Linked DNA regions of Caenorhabditis elegans. The protein of the gene in region 4 purifies or fractionates together with the protein of the main gene of each other region. This does not show direct contact. Each region holds a gene or a part of one and is shown on either strand. Other genes may lie near its edges.

Region 1 (3,921 bases), on a different chromosome or scaffold from region 4:
TCAATTTTTCGGCGTACCTATGTGGATTAAACCATTTACTCTCATTAAACGCATAGCAAATTTCGTCCATTTTTGTCGGATCAAATTCGGATTTTTGTAGAATATTGTTAACCGTATGGATAAGGCAGTATTGAAGACGTTGCTTTTCGTGATAAATTTCTGGTGATGACGTCATCTGGAATATAAATCTAATTGGGGTATTGGATGCTGAAATTTTTTCTATTTTTAAAATGTCGTCGAAATCGTAAATATTTTTTTTGCAGTTTATCGATTTTCTTCTGGAAAAAAATCGATAAAATATTGATTTTTATTCAAAAATTTCATGAAAATTATCGATTTTCTATGACTAAATTATTAACTTTTGTGCGAAACAAAATCGAATTTTATTTGAAAATCGAAATTCGAATTTAGTATTGATTTTTCAGAAAATTTATTCAAAATATCGATTTTTCCTTTTTTTTAATTCAAAAAAAAATCAAAAATCAATTAAAAAAAATTAAGCATAAAATAGGGCACATCCTCTTTTTGAAAAAAAATCAAAAAATCAAAAAATCCATCACCAAATCCTTTATATAAACTGAACAAAATTTTTTTTTTAAATAACAAAAACCATAACCCCAATTCAAAAAATCGTCTAAATATCACAACAAAATGGCGGAATTTTCAGCACAATAAATAGCCAAAAAATCGATAATTTAGTCTTCCTCAGTGAAAAAGTCCTTGACGAGATGCTTATTGGCAATTTGTCTCTCCAAAAGACGTTTTGCCTTGTTTCCAACTTCCAAAAGTGTCGGAATACATGTCAATTTGAGTGTTGGATCAGTACGGAATCCGACAGCTGGGTCACGCCATCTGAAAATTTGGAAATTTAGAGATTTTTTGCAATTTTTTTCAAAATAATTTTTTCCGAAAATTTTTTCTTTGAGAATTTTTCAAAATTTTGACACAGTATTTCGTAATTTCATTGATTTTTTTTTCAAAAAAATTGATTTTTTATAATTTTATAGATTTTTCGTAATTTTATAGATTTTTCATAATTTTATTGATTTTTTCTTTTAAAAAAAATTGATTTTTTATAATTTCATTGATTTTTTATAATTTTATTGATTTTTTCCAGAAAAAATTGATTTTTTTTATGATTTTATTGATTTTTTCTTTAAAAAATTGGTTTTTTTAAATAATTTTATTGATGTTTCTTTAAAAAACAATTGATTTTTTATAATTTTATTGATTTTTTCTTTAAAAAAATTTATTTTTTATAATTTTATTGATTTTTTCTAAAAAAAATTGATTTTTTTTGGAAAAAATCAATAAAATTATAAAAAAATGAATTTTTCCAAAAAAAAAAATGATTTGTCGTAATTTTATTGATTTAAAAATAATTGATTTTTTATAATTTCATTGATTTTTTATAATTTCATTGATTTTTTATAATTTTATTGATTTTTTATAATTTTATTGATTTTTTATATTTTTATTGATTTTTTTTTTCAAAAAATTGATTTTTCGTAATGTTATCGACTTTTTCCAAAAAAAATTTGATTTTTATAATTTTATTGATTTTTTATAATTTTTTGATTTTTTAATAATTTTATTGATTTTTCGTAATTTTATTGATTTTTTCCAAAAAATATTGATTTTTCGTAATTTTATCGATTTTTTTTTACAAAAATCCACGAACACTTCACGATTTCCGACGAAAACAGTGACAAAATGGACATCGAGTCCGGCGACGGCGGCGTCCTTGATCACTTCTTCGACAACTGGCTCAGCTGAAATTCAAATATATTATTTTTTTAATTTATAGGCAGGCGTGAGGTGAGCAGTAGGTAGGCATAGGTATGCGGTAGGCAAAGGCAGGCACACCGTAGGTAGGCATGTAGACTGTAGATAGGTGAGTAGGTAAGCACAGAAGCGGCAGAGGCTGTTAGCAGATAGGTACGCAGGGGATGAGCTAGGCGGGTAGGTAGGCAGGTAGGTAGGCCATCAAAATCTCGTACCAACAACACAATCCGGGCACCAAGACTCTCCGGTTGTCAGAATTTTGGATCCAGTGAACAGAGCGACGACTCGTTTTCCTTTTCCAATCGATTTCAGTGTCTCCTGAAATGCTTCGTATCCCTGAGCAGTGTAGTGTTTCAGTCCGGTCATCTGGAGAAAAAATTCATGAAATTTTCAAATTTACCACAAATTTTCAACAAAAAAATATTCGGAAGAGACATGAAAATCCTTTAAAAAACCCGAAAAATGATAGGATTTTATTTTTTTTTCTGCACTTTTGCACAAAATTTTTGAGCCATATTCCAAAATTCAAATTTTAAAATTTTTTTCTGAAAATTGGAAAGAAAAATTTTAATTTTCCCAAAATTTTCAGTGTTTTTAGGAATTTCTTATCGAAAAATTGAGAAAAAAAAACTATAAAATATTGAAAATATTTATTACGGGAACTCAAAATTTTGAGAATGCGTATTTCACAACATATTTGACGCGCAAAATATCTCGTAGCGAAAACTACAGTAATCCTTTAAATGACTACTGTAGCGCGCGGTTGTGTCGATTTACGGGATCTCGATTCTGTTAAATGAGTTGAATCATTTATTTATCGAGTTCCCGTAAATTGACACAACCGAGCTACAGTAGTCATTTAAAGGATTACTGTAGTTTTCGCTACGAGATATAGTTATATTTTGCGCGTCAAATATGTTGTGAAATACGCATTCTCAAAATTTTGAGTTCCCGTAATAAATATTTTCAATAGTTTATAGTTTTTTTTTCTCAATTTTTCGATAAGAAATTTCTAGAAACACTGAAAAATTTTGCGAAATTTAGAATTAATTTGCGGCAAAATTCATATTTTCGAAAAAAAATTAAAAAATCAAATTTCAATTTTTTTTCTAGAAAATTTTAGAGAAAAAAATAATAAAGTAAATAAAATCTTCGGAATTTCAAAAACCGATAAAAAGCAACAAAAAAAATTAATAAAAAAATTCAAAAATCCCCAATAATTTATTCCATTCAAAACAAGGTAATCTATTTAAGCAATCTCTTGAGCTCAGGCTTCGTCGATGCATATTCATTGATTGTAACACGGGCAGTTGCTCCAATTCCAACACGAACAGCAGTTCTAGACAACCAATGAGCATTCGAATGGATTCCATCACAAATTCCACGCATTTTCTTCACTTTTAGAAGAGATGAGCACAAAAGAATGACAGTTATAAAGCTGAATGTTATTGGAACAATTGAAATCAGCACAATCCATGAACTCATTTGCTCGAATTTCTGCAAAAAAAAAGAGGTTTCGGGGGGTTTTTACCTACGCCTGCCTTATGCCTAAACCTTTTGCTTTTGAAAATACGAAAAAAAAACGGAAAATTGGCGAAAAATGGCTGCCTACTCGCGTGCCTACCATTAAATCAATTAGTATTTCTTAACTTTTACTTGGAAAAAAAAACGAAAAAATCGTTGCCTACCTGGCGCCTACAAGCGTGCCTACTAGAAAGTTGGTATAAAATCACATTTAAAAAAAAACAATCACATCACATTTGCCCACCTGCAAGGCGACCAACGCCTATTGGTTCGGCGTACCTGCAGGCAGATAGTTAGGGCCTGGTAGGTTGGTTTCGGTAAAAAAAAAGCCATACCTCAGCACATCCGTCGACCATTTTGTTTCCCGTTCCTTTTTGTGCAAAAAACGTGTGAAGAACAGGAGAAAATAATAAAGAAATGATTGAAAATTGGACGGGGGATAACTATTTTCAAAATTTCGAGAAAAAAAAAACGTAAAATTTTAAAGAAATGAGAACAGCCACGCGGCACAACAACAACAACAAGAAAAGTGGAGAAAAATCAATAAAATTAACGAAAAAAAAAACAACGTGAAGCAGAAGAAATGCCTGCCTACGCCTGTAGGCAGGCAGG
Region 2 (4,282 bases), on a different chromosome or scaffold from region 4:
AAAATCATCCGAGCTTAATCTTCTATTAAAATTCTTGAAAGTCAGATCAAAACGTTCCCCGAAAAATACTAAAATGAGTTTTCCTGCATACTGCTGCCGCCGCTCACATCTATCTTTCTGGCGACTGTGTCATTCAAGGCTTCTATGTCATTCAAACTACTGCCACAGTCATACCATGACAGAACTTTTTTGGATTTTTGTTTTCAAAGAATCTCTAGACCAAGAGCATTCTTTGAACTATAAAAACTTGTAAGATACTTGATGGGTTCCTCGAAAAAAAAAAAGTAAAAATCCCGCAGAATGCCGACTTGCGTGCCATCAAGAACGTGATCTCAAAAGTTCGGAAAGCCTGCAGCGATGCGGTTAGGGAAATTTTAAAAATTTTAAACGTTAATCTGGTCAGTATTTCATGGAGATCAAAATTTATACAAATTGATGTAATAACTCTCGCCACACGTGAAGTTACAGAGCTGCAAACGTGTTACCATACTTATGGCGCAGAAGAAAAATCAATCAACAATAACTTTATTTAGGATACACCTGCAAATATCCAAAACGATTTACGATCATAGTTTTTTCCCAAAAAAGTCTTTTCGAAAAATCCCTCAATCAAGGCGCCGGGTCTTTTTGAATACTCATTTAAGTACCAGTTCACCGGTCCGAAAAAGATAGTAGTGTTGCGCCGAATGATCAACACAAGTCCACATTCATCGCCGAACCGTTTGCAAAGCTTTTCCGCATAATCAATCAATTTGAATCTGTAGCTGAAAAAATGTTTGGATCAAATGTTATGCCATTAAGCCGCAAAATACAAACTCGTATTCCATTGGAAGGGCAGCTTGCAGCTTTCTTTGAAGGTTCTCCTCGTGCCTTTTGCAATCTTGGGTTCTGAGGCTTCGTAAAACAAAAGCATTGCACCCGTTTCGATTGAAAGAAGATTTAAAATTGCGTTTGAAATAGCTGTATGAAGTGAATTGGTACTCCTCAGATGAACCGTCACAGAAATCGTAGACGATCACGTAAAATTTGTGGCTGAAATATTTTGGAAAATCAATTTGAAATCTGACTGTTTGCGATATGGTGTGCAAAAAATGGTTACATTTGTAAGTGGATGTGAGAAAAATTACTGACGTTCACAGCAGGGCTGTCTTTTTTTGAATAAATTTTCGGAAAACGCAGATTTTTTGGCTTTTTTGGTCTTTCGGGACCAAAATCTTTTATATTTTTTCACAAATTAAAAAAATTCCAGAAAAAAATTGGTTGGCCCTCAAAAGCCTAGAAATCATCAGAAATCTGCAAAAATCAACATTTGGAGGAATTTTACGGGCTGCGAAAATCGTGAAAAATGCATTGAAAATTTTTCAGAGCGACTTCTTTCCAGTTCAAAGTGCCTAAATTGACCGGGGTTAAATTGGAATACTTCCTTTGTAAGCCTAATAATGGAAATACTATTCACGTTTTAAATAACTTAACAGATAAAATAATTGCTACCCCGGTCATAATTTAATTTGAAAAAAGTAAAGTTATAATACACAATTACCCTTTTATGTCCCTTGTCAATTTACAAAAATACTCACTTTGTCATGATCTTGCCCAATTCTTTAGTCAAAATATTTCGTATATTTTCACTTCCCTCATTATTGTCTTGCACATTATGGATTAAACTTAAGACTCCATCGTCCCAGTACGAGTGATCTTGACGGTATTCTTCAGCCCATCTATTCATTTTCAGTTGTAATTCTTCGGTTTGCTTCTTTAAACGACTCGGTCCAATCATGTTCTTATCGCAAAACATTCCATTCTGGTACGTCTCCAAAATCAGCTGAATATGATACACTTTATTTAGTGAGGGATGTAGTGAGTACCTACACATTGGGCAAGCACTCCGTCGATTATTTTTCTCCATTTTTCAAAAGTTTCCGTTGGTCGAAGAGGATCACAGTTCATTGCCATTTTGAGAGGATTCGTTTCCTCCTGGTCGAGTTTTATAATCATTTGCTGGAAATTTGAAGCTGTCTAACATTGAAATCTTGTGATTCCTTAATAAGTCCTACCTCTGCAATCCACAAAGGTTTATTATCCGTCACAGCGCCACGAAATAGCTCTTTTGTGTATTTACAAGGATTGTTCATCGTATCCTGCATGTATTTCATCAACGTTTTGATTGTAGCGACCTCATTCTGCAAAATTTTGAGTAAGGGTAAAGGGTGAAGGTTAAAAAGGGTCGTGATTAACTTTTTTCCTGCGCAGAAGGCTTCGTAACCACACTTTGAACCAATATCTATTCCGAACATACCATGTAAAAGTGAGACGTTGTTATAAATGACTTAAGATCACCGAACAACGCGTCCATCTTATGTGACAGTTCCCCAATCTTCTTGTCGAGCGTTTTGAGCTCGCTGAGTATCAGCTCCGTTGATTTGTCATCTTTGTATGCAGCCATCGTAACATATGCACTAACTATAGCACCGCATGCACAAATCGCAGTTAAATGCGGAACCACTGCGGCGGACGCATAAGCCCCATGTACTCCTAGGCAGCCAGTGACCACCGAAATAAATCCCGTCGTGTAGTTTACAGCTGGAAAATTGAGAATTCGATTCAATTTCATATTATTTTAAAAATAGAATCTTACCAGCCATCTTGAAATATATAACTGTCTCCAAATAGAAAAGCAATGATGTCTTATCTTTCTTTTCTCTGTTCTTGTTTTATACTCTAGTGCTACACATTACACGCATGCCATTTTTCTTGTGGAACTAAGTATGAGGAATACTGACATTTTCTTTATCAGGAATGCTAGCGTCTTCCTCATAAAAATTCGGAAAGGGCAAAAATGTCAAAGAAAATTATGTGTTGAAAATACTCAAATATGTCAATAGTACCAAGTGACTCATTTAGGGAACACGATTTTTGGCATAGTAAGTGAGTTCCGAACTAAAGAACTAAACTATAAATTCTGATTTTTTTAAAAGATTTTAAAAGAAAGAAAAGATTTATTCACAAAAAACATGTAAAAGATACATTAGTTTTCCTTGAAGGTATTAGATAAAATATTTATTTAAAAAAAAAGAAATCGCAAAAAGATAAAATGTCGTAGTTTTTATTACAATGGAACGGTTTTGAATAAAAACTACAAATATTCATCGAACACCAGCAATTATCTCAAACTTTTGACCGTACCAGTACTGAAAAAAGTCGCCACTACCAAAAAAAAAGTCAGAACCATTGCCCTTGAAACATCTCTCAATACAGTCACCGGGTCCTCTGGGATAATCGTCTGGGTCACAGTTTACCCAACGTTTGCGAATGTTTCTATGTTTTCGAATAATCCCCACAAAGCCACATTCGGCGCCGAACGTTTCGCGAAGACCACGCACGTACTCACGAAGGTCATGAATGCTGAATATTGATTTAAATTAATTAATGGTGTTTTCTTTAAATAAATACCGTATTTTCCGTATTAGTTCATATTGCATTAACATTAACATTAATTGTCTTCAGTTAAACACATTATAAAAGTATGGTAGTGGCGACTAATATAGAAAATGCGGTACACTGTACTTACTACGACTGTGGAGGTGTTGCATCGAGCATCCTTCGAAGAATCTCCAGGAGATTATGCGGAAAAGCTTTGCGAACGGTTCGGCGATGAATGTGGACTTGTGTTGATCATTCGGCGCAACACTACTATCTTTTTCGGACCGGTGAACTGGTACTTAAATGAGTATTCAAAAAGACCCGGCGCCTTGATTGAGGGATTTTTCGAAAAGACTTTTTTGGGAAAAAACTATGATCGTAAATCGTTTTGGATATTTGCAGGTGTATCCTAAATAAAGTTATTGTTGATTGATTTTTCTTCTGCGCCATAAGTATGGTAACACGTTTGCAGCTCTGTAACTTCACGTGTGGCGAGAGTTATTACATCAATTTGTATAAATTTTGATCTCCATGAAATACTGACCAGATTAACGTTTAAAATTTTTAAAATTTCCCTAACCGCATCGCTGCAGGCTTTCCGAACTTTTGAGATCACGTTCTTGATGGCACGCAAGTCGGCATTCTGCGGGATTTTTACTTTTTTTTTTTCGAGGAACCCATCAAGTATCTTACAAGTTTTTATAGTTCAAAGAATGCTCTTGGTCTAGAGATTCTTTGAAAACAAAAATCCAAAAAAGTTCTGTCATGGTATGACTGTGGCAGTAGTTTGAATGACATAGAAGCCTTGAATGACACAGTCGCCAGAAAGATAGATGTGAGCGGCGGCAGCAGTATGCAGGAA
Region 3 (4,021 bases), on a different chromosome or scaffold from region 4:
TACTGAGACTGCGTTTATCTATCTGCTGAAAAGCTGGCGCCCAGATCTACTTTCCACGTCATCCGAAATGATGACCAACTACTCAAGCCTCGGAGCTCATGGTAGACCTTATGTGGACAGGTAAGAGAAAAATGTGCCTTTTAAAACTAGAGTTAAATTAAATATTTCTTTGAAAAACAAATTCCAGTGATTTATTGAAAAATTACGCGCACGACTGGAATTTTCAGATACGTGCGCGCAAAAGAGATGCTTGACGATCTCGACGGCAGTTCGAACCTCTATCATGATATTTTGGGCGCTGAGAACCTGATCTACATCGAGTTGGCTCAGAGAAAAGCCGAGTTCGATTTGAAAAGTGGGGAAATTTACAAATAACTATTCAATGAACCTACATTTAATTTTTTTTGCAGCGAGAACCTAACCAACGAGAATGAAATGTACGAAGCAATGTGATCACCGAGTAACAGTTCCTCATCGTTATAATTTGAATAAATGAATAATAATCTGGGATTGAAAACACACATGCAAGATAACAAAGACGAGCACATTGGGAATGTATAAACGTTTATATGAAAAAGAAAAAAGGGAAACGAAAGAAAAAGACACCATGATTGAATCCGAAAGGGAATTGGGCAAAGAGAATATGATAGAGCACTTGTATAAATAGCACAAGTAGAAAAAGAGCAAAGTGCTCATGGGGAAAACATTTTGAAACTTTCTTTCGTTGAAACCGTAACCGACGACACGCGAAACAGGCGGATTTGAGATTTTTGGCGTGACACCGAAAATAGGAGACGACCTTCGAAATGCATAAGATTTCGAAAAAAGATACCAAAATTCGATTCACGTGAATTCTCAAACCACACCGTCCGCTGTCAACTACCCTATAAATTTCACGGGGTATTGTGGGTCGTTCAAGAATTGGTAGAGCAACAATAAAGAGTGAAGTGCGTTTAAGCACGAAATGATAAGAGAAATTTGGGACATAACAAGTTGATAGGGACGAAATTAATAATGTACTAAATTATGAGAATACTAACCAAAAAAAGGATATTATAGAATAAAGAAAAACAATGAATAAGGAAATGGGAACACAGAAAACAGAAGAATAAGAAAATAGTTGGGCCTATTATTGATTTTTCCTCAAATGTGGAGGAACGTACGATCCAGCCTTGGCAGCTCCCGAAGATGCTGGAGCAGCAGCTGCAGGGGCTGGTGCTGGCTCGTTACGCGCTGGAGCTGGATTGGCGGCGCTCATCATCTGAAACGTTGAATTTAGACATTTTCAAGAATAATAAAAATGATTTTTGATAGTTTTAAAACCTTGAAAACTTAGAGTAATTATTTTTCCTTGACACATACCTTGAGAGCTGCAAGAGCACTATCACGTCCACTTCCAGCAGTTGTCGGATACGATCTTGAAGACCCACTTGAAGATGGGCCCGAACTTCCTGGCCAAGCTCCACCGGATCCAGCTTTTACCCAACCTCCTGGTGATTTGCTCTCCTCTTTCTTATTCTTCTCAATTTTGCTTGCATCCGCTAATGATGGGAAGGCAGCGTCACTACCCATATCCAGATTTGCAGCAGCAGCTCTTGGTCTGTACGGAGCTCCTGGTCTTCTCATTGCAGGTGGCTTGTAAGCGGCAGCCATTGCTTTGTCACTGATCGTCACAGCTTGTTCCGGCTCCTCCGTCGCTTTCTTTTCACTGCTAACTTGTCCCCAAGTCTTTGTCTCATGAACCTCGCGATCTTCTGGTTCTTCGTTATTTACTTGATCTTGTTCACTTTCAAGACCCATATCTTTGATTTTCAGACCATCTAGTCTGCAATAAATGAGATATTTAAATGAAATCGGAGCGAATAATCTACTAACCTTCCTTGACTTTCTCCGTATTCAATCCATTCACTTTCTTCGTTAGGATTCACGGCCTTCTCCTCTTCTACCCGCTTTTCAGAAACATCCTCCGACTCTTGCTCATACTCCTCTTGACGCTTGGCTCTTCGTTCGAGTGCTTGACCGACTTCTTCGATTTTAACGGCGGACTTCTTTTTCTTGTCTTTCTTTTTAGCAAAGAAAGCGCTCAAATCGTCACTCATTTTGTGTTGTTGTGAAAAGCGAGTCGGAACTGAAACGTGGAACATTTAGAGAGTAAAATTATTTTGAACGGCCTAAAATGAAACGACAATAGCACAGTTTTCTAATATAGTGAAGTTCAAATAACGAATATGACATGTAAAGTTACTGTGCACAAAGAACAAATGATAGGAAGTGGCAAACTAGCTGGAATTTACTGAAAATGAGAAGAAAACGCGACGCAACACGTCACGCGCGTATCAGAGATTCATTGCAGTTATTTGGCAGAAGGCTGTCTTGACAATAATGAATTTGCTAATTGGAATAGTTTAGGCTTTTGGAGCTTCTAAATATAACTAACAAAAAATGAACAAAACGTGTAAGTTGAAGAGAAATCCAGCTAAAAATTCAGTTTCGCAACAAAAAAAAGTTAGAGACTGCAAACGCGCCAGGACGATTACTGGCGTGTATGGCGATTTTGTTGACGCATATCTCGTTTTATTCAGTTTTCTCTCACATTTACAGTATTTTCGGATGAATAAATTGCTTTTGGTCGAGTTTATAGCAGTTTACATGTATTTATTAAATTAATATTTTAGTCATTTGGATAATGATACAGTTTCCACCACCCAATAAATAAAACCTTACTTTTTTAGGACTCGTAGTGTATGCTAGAGGAATCTCACTTGGTGGACGAGCTAACAGCTTCTTTCATCTCCGATCAAACGTATTATCTTCTTCTGATTCCAAGTCTCATTCCGGTTTTCATCGTCTTTCACTTTTTCAATTGGCTGGGTATGATACGAGAAACGCAACTTATTTACGAGTGTGTTATGAATTTTTTCCAGGTTACGAGTTCTTCTTGAACAATTAAATAATGGCAAATGTTGAAGCAATTCCTGGCTATCTCACGGCCACTTTTCCCACACTTCCAATTGAGATCAAAGACTATGTCTCTGCAATTCTCAAAGAGAATTCCGATGAGATCACATCTTTAGATGAAGTTATGGATGCCGTTGGTGAACATCTTCAAGCTTCCGTGGAAAATCTTTGCGAGGTTGGAGCTAAGAATGCTTGTCAACAACTTCTGAAACTACTTCACGGAGACAACCTTCCAAAGGCTATCAAACAACAGGAAGCAACTACGAAACGTCTCGAGCAAACTGTTGACATGGCTGCTGAAAATCAAAACTTTGAAGCTCTTCAAAGCATCTGGAAAGTACAAACAAGAGATACTCCAACTACCGTTGATAAGAAGAAACTTGCTAAGGCCGAAGATCGTGCTGCAGCGAAAGCAGAAGCTCGTGCAGATGCACCTGTTGAACGGAAGAAGAAGAAGAATGAGCCATCAGCAACGGCTTCCCAAGCTCCAATTCGTGACTCGGGTGCCCGTGGAGCCAACTCAAAGGATATCAAACTGGAAAGTGTGGATATTTCTATCGGTACGAAACAACTTCTCTCATGTGCCGATGTCACAATGGCATTTGGAAGACGATATGGATTGGTTGGAAGAAACGGAATCGGAAAAACGACGCTGCTTAAAATGATTTCAAGCCAACAGTTGAAGATCCCCGCAGGTATTTCAATGCTGTCTGTGGAACAGGAAGTGGAAGGAGATGATACACTCGTTTTGGATGCTGTTTTGATGTCAGATACGAAGAGACAAACACTTCTTGATAGGGAAAAGACGCTGCAAGTGAGATATTCAGAAAATGATATTAATATTCAATGAGAATAATATGACAAAAAAGTCTGATTTGAATTCATTCCATTCTTGAAATATATATTTTTAATTTGAACAAAAATTAATTCATTTTTCAAAATTAAAATTTCAGAGTCGTATAAACAAGGACAATATCAATGACGCCGAGAAAACCAAATGGAATGACGAGCTTTCAAAACTTTACATCGAAATGGAAGCTCTCCAACTTGACAAAGCTCCAGC
Region 4 (4,735 bases):
TCAAAAAAAAGTTACCTGACTATGAGTTTTATTTTTGATTATTCTTCTTTCTACAATTTAACAAAACAATTTCTGAAAATACGTTTAACATTTTTTCAATGTAGTTACGCGGCTCATTTAATAACTTTTTCATCAGCGTCCATTTTTCAAATGAATTTTTTTCTAGAAAAAAAAATTACAGTTGTTGTGCCGTAATAATTTTTTCTTGAGCAAAGAATAGCCCAACAACTGTTTCAGTTGCATATTTCGAGCTAGAAAAGTCCACCGCAGTTTAGTTTTGAAGCCTTCGATTATCGTATTTTAGCGTTTTGTAGCATATTCCACATAAAGCACGAAACTAAACTGGAACATTTGTGAAATCATCAATCAAGTCATTTTTGGGTACACATCATGTCTGCGGAGACATTGAGCGAATTCAAATAGACCAAGTCATCATTCCGATTCATTTGTGAAAATTCGTTTTCTGCTAGAACTGTGATCACTCTATTTTTAAATTCTATTCGCATCAAATTTCAATCACAAATATACTTTGTTGCTTGCTGCATTTAACACATTTTTATGGGGTGAACAGGACACTATCAGAAATCAACAAGTATCTAGTATGGTCGAAGACTTTGTTTCGGTGCAGTTTTCTGAACATATTTCTTTTAGGAGGGAAAATGAATATAAAAGATATTGATATCACATAGGCATCAATAATCAATGCTATGAGAAGACACGTTTAAAGTAGGGGGCCGGCAATTTGTCTGGGTGGAAAACCAACACAGAAGAAAAGGACAGAAGAGATGAAAGGTCGTTTAATATACATTACATATCATTGTGAAAAACAAAAGAACTACAAATACTTTTTCTTATTTATTACAACCTGAATTAGAATGTGAATTGAAGGGCGGTTCGAATGGGCAAGAAAACAAACGTCAAAACACACATATTAACGCGGACAACAATATGCAAAAAACTCGTTATGTTCACAAGTATGACTGCTTGGACAGAATCTATCGGAACATGATTTTCCGAGCATTGCACTCGACCAATCGTCCTGTTTCGTTTGCAAAGCTTCTTTCTTGTTTTTGCATAATGGTTTGAATGCTGCTTGGTAGCGATCTGGAAACTTTGTGTTTTGGTTGTCGCTAATATGATTACTTACTTGTCAAGTTCTCCTCGCAGCAAATACCAAAGAATGCTCCCATAGAACAAATATATCCCTTTGGACAACCATCAGAGGTTAGTTTTGGGCCTGGAGTTGTAGTAGTCTTGAAGCCTGAAAAATATGAAGCAATATTTCAGTTAGTTTTTTTAATGTTCATTATTACTTTAATAAAGTTTTAAACTAACTAATACTCGTTTTTAAAACATTGTATTTCTAACGTTTAAACAGCTCAGATCCGAAAAACAGGATCCTTTAAATGAAATAAAAAATAACATTTTATAAACCGGAATTGTAAGTTTCGTTTTTCACCACAAAAATTTGTAGCTAATTTTCAAATATTATTTATGCAGTAGAAAGTTCGAAAGTTTTATTAAAAAACCATCAATCTCAAAACATACCTGGTGGACCATCTGGGCCTTCTGGGCAAGAATACCATTGTCCATTCGACTTTCTAGCTGGTTGTGATTGCATTGCACAACTGAAGTAGTCTTCTGAAATAAAACTGCATTCAATTATCGTATTTGATTTTTGAGTTAAAAATTGAATTTTTGAGTTAAAAATTGAATACGTCAATGAGGGGCTCAGAGTTTTCAAACTTTTGGGTCAAAAATGTATGAAACATTTTACAATTTTTGGTACCATAGGCCTACTTGTGATCATTTTCCTTGGTGAACGTCACTTATATTCATGAAAACAATACGTGGATAACTTACGCAAGACACAGTCAAAATAGCATTCACTACTTGTTCTATAGGAGTTCTGATTTCCACCACAGCCTTTGTGTTCGAATGGGAAACATTGGAAGGTTTCAACGTCAAACCAGTACTAAAAAAAATATTTGCCCGATTTTTTATTAGGTTTAAAATCAACTTACTCTTATCGAAGTTTTATTTTGATTGCATGTATGTCCAGCATTTCTGTTACTTGCACACCATGGTTTTCCAATCGGTTGATCATTTTTCGGTTTGGCAGGATCTGGTTTTTCAAAAGCGGGGAATGCTGACGAATCGATGGAGAAATCTGAAATTATCGAATTATTTTAAATTATTCATGATTTTGAACTACCAATTTGCATGCAATTCATCTTTGTTGTGTTACTCAATGGTTTTCGTGTCCCTTGTATTTCTCTTCCAGTATTTGTGTCCACGCAGTAGCATTGGTTCTTCTTACTGTCACATTGTACAGGCTCAAAATCACCTTAAATACTTATATTTTATCTTTAGCATTATTTTTTCATACCTTTTCCGACGTCACATTTTGGTACGAAACTATTTTCTGGAGGATCTCCGTCGGCAAACAGCTTTTGGAGGTAAACAAGGCAAGCTGAAACGATAAACGTCACTTTTGGGAAAACTTAGGAAATTGAATGGTCTCTACTTACTTCCACATTTTGGCGCGGTTTTCGGATTGTTGGTTCGTGTGTCGTATGCAACAAGTGCAGTGTGAGGAGTAACACAATAACATGATTCAGAGTTACATTGTACAGTTTCATAGTATCCTAAAATTATGAATAAATTAATATAATTTAAAGTTTAGAATCACCATTTTCATTGCATTTTAGTCCATCATCATTCAACGTGCATGGTCCAGTTTTTGGGTTTCTGTAATAAAATATTACATTTTTATAATAAATTTGAAATAAGCAAAGTAATGTTGAAAAATTAAAATTTCCACCAGTTGCTTCAACACTTTATTAATATAAAATTCTTAAACAAAACTGTTATTTTTTTAATAGTGGACACCGAACTGTTGAAAAATATTTTCACTTACTAGGGTTCTAATTATTTCAAAATTGGTTTTTCATAAATTGTGCCTAACAATTTTTGTTCCAAAGAACTAACCTGGCTCGTAATAATCTGTCTCCAAACAGAGCATTGACTTGGGTGAATCCAACAAGTAATATTATGCAGAAAGCTCGCATGCCGGAAATCAAAAAATTGCGTTCGAAGGAATGATTGAAACGAGGAAATGAATGAAGGTAAATAATAACTAGTTAGTGAAACAAACATTATTTGATTTTCGAGAACAAAAAATAGTAAGAGCTATGAGTTGATCATTGAGTGATCTATTGTATTTGGGAATTACTGGCTTTTGGTTATTTTCATCACTCGCCGATGAAATTTTATGTAAGTTATTTTTATGTACATAAATTCTGTGCATATGAAATAGGTGAATCAAAAAGTGTTCACAAATATTTGGAAACATTAACAAAAATATTTCAAATAAAGGAAAAATTCGAGAAAAAAATAATTTTCTTAGGATATGAAAGCCAAGTTATATTCTTTCTTCTCTCCGAAGATTCAAAAAATCAAGAAAGATTAAAAATTGAAACAGTATCTTTTTTCAAAAGAAAAAACTAAGCAGTATCAGTGCTAGTTGAGAACAAGAAAAGGAATCAATTGCTGAACGAATCTTTGTTCGACGAAAAACGAAAAAAAAGGTTTACTTCCTTTTTATCATATTATGTCAACTACTAGAATGCAATGATCAATCGATAAAACTGGTACATTCTCTTATTCTCTTTGGATTCGTTTTTACACCAATAAATTTGGTTTGACTAACAGAATTACCTTTAGTTGAAAAAACATTTATTCGGGAAAAGAAGTGAATCATCAGAAAATAACCCGTTTTTGTCGGAATATTTTTTTAAATAAATAAAGTTCAAACTAATAACTAGACATAAAATAAGAAAATAAAATGAAGAATAGTAGAGACACAGGCCAGAAAGTGATTGGAGAAGAGTTACACAGATCAGTATTACAGCAACAGACTTTACTTTGTTTCGAAGTGACCACGCATTCGTCTTTCTGAAAAAAAGAAAACATTGAGAAAAGATTAAAAGAATAGAAAAGTCTAGAAGTTTCTATGGAAATCACTGGAAGAAAACGTTACTCACGAGTTTTTAGAATAAGAAAACAACAAAACGTTCTAGAATGAATTTCTATCACTAAGAATCATAAATTATACTTTTGAGAAACAATACGGGAATCGAGCTTCAAGTATAACATATAGGAATGTATTTTTCTAATATTTTTTTCAAAGACCGGAACCATTGTTAAGTGTCAGACGATAGAAAAATACGCTGTTTTTAAATTTAAGTTTAAATAATCCTTATTGTGATTTTTATTCACTGTTGGTCATTTTTTGGCAAATTGACAATACATACATTTAGATAAAACCGGCATTGACCCCACTCATTTTCTACAAGCGAAAGTGTATTCCGTTATTTTTCCATAGTTACAGTATGTAGCATTGGGCTTTGTCCGCTACATATGGGTTTTGTCCGCTTCTAGTATTTGTTTTCTGTTAAAGTTGACATTGCTCTTTCAATGAGTATGGTTTTTATAATTAATTTCCAGAAAATCTACACCAGGGCTGCGCCACATTCAATCTTTTCGACAATTTTTTTTCTGATTTTCACTTTGCACATTTGTTCTTTCAATTTCAAACTCGTTTTGTTCGCTCACTTTGCAAAACGGCGTAAAGTCATCACATCCGTAAGTAGCTCCGCCAGTTGGCTCTGTCGTTCTGCAAAATGAAAATTCCAATAAACTTGCTGCCTTTTCTTTTTCTTCTTTCAACCCA

The links.
Region 1: the proteins of B0222.5 (region 4) and txdc-17 fractionate together in Caenorhabditis elegans (co-fractionation; one large-scale study listed by BioGRID). This does not show direct contact.
Region 2: the proteins of B0222.5 (region 4) and Y94H6A.2 fractionate together in Caenorhabditis elegans (co-fractionation; one large-scale study listed by BioGRID). This does not show direct contact.
Region 3: the proteins of B0222.5 (region 4) and F42A10.5 fractionate together in Caenorhabditis elegans (co-fractionation; one large-scale study listed by BioGRID). This does not show direct contact.

The regions. Positions count from the first base shown.
Region 1 is NC_003281.10:2,832,893-2,836,813, reverse strand, and holds txdc-17 (Thioredoxin domain-containing protein 17), read right to left. Parts: upstream 2,152-3,921; coding exon 2,001-2,151; intron 1,773-2,000; coding exon 1,682-1,772; intron 853-1,681; coding exon 696-852; 3' UTR 553-695; downstream 1-552. Other genes in the region: josd-1 (ubiquitinyl hydrolase 1), read right to left, coding at 18-175; Y71H2AM.29 (G_PROTEIN_RECEP_F1_2 domain-containing protein), read right to left, coding at 3,031-3,282, 3,645-3,665.
Region 2 is NC_003282.8:2,728,652-2,732,933, reverse strand, and holds Y94H6A.2 (DUF4781 domain-containing protein), read right to left. Parts: upstream 2,643-4,282; coding exon 2,636-2,642; intron 2,581-2,635; coding exon 2,297-2,580; intron 2,181-2,296; coding exon 2,055-2,180; intron 1,999-2,054; coding exon 1,870-1,998; intron 1,823-1,869; coding exon 1,578-1,822; intron 1,033-1,577; coding exon 817-1,032; intron 765-816; coding exon 530-764; 3' UTR 512-529; downstream 1-511.
Region 3 is NC_003281.10:6,170,673-6,174,693, forward strand, and holds F42A10.5 (Protein CDV3 homolog), read right to left. Parts: upstream 2,129-4,021; 5' UTR 2,100-2,128; coding exon 1,876-2,099; intron 1,826-1,875; coding exon 1,363-1,825; intron 1,262-1,362; coding exon 1,130-1,261; 3' UTR 550-1,129; downstream 1-549. Other genes in the region: F42A10.9 (Gamma-glutamylcyclotransferase family protein), read left to right, coding at 1-120, 411-453; abcf-3 (ABC transporter domain-containing protein), read left to right, coding at 2,954-3,772, 3,912-4,021.
Region 4 is NC_003283.11:9,151,799-9,156,533, forward strand, and holds B0222.5 (BPTI/Kunitz inhibitor domain-containing protein), read right to left. Parts: upstream 3,075-4,735; 5' UTR 3,072-3,074; coding exon 2,992-3,071; intron 2,752-2,991; coding exon 2,693-2,751; intron 2,649-2,692; coding exon 2,532-2,648; intron 2,474-2,531; coding exon 2,390-2,473; intron 2,348-2,389; coding exon 2,216-2,347; intron 2,171-2,215; coding exon 2,025-2,170; intron 1,976-2,024; coding exon 1,864-1,975; intron 1,642-1,863; coding exon 1,549-1,641; intron 1,262-1,548; coding exon 1,148-1,261; intron 1,105-1,147; coding exon 932-1,104; 3' UTR 523-931; downstream 1-522. Other genes in the region: B0222.15 (Activin_recp domain-containing protein), read right to left, coding at 3,817-3,957, 4,618-4,678.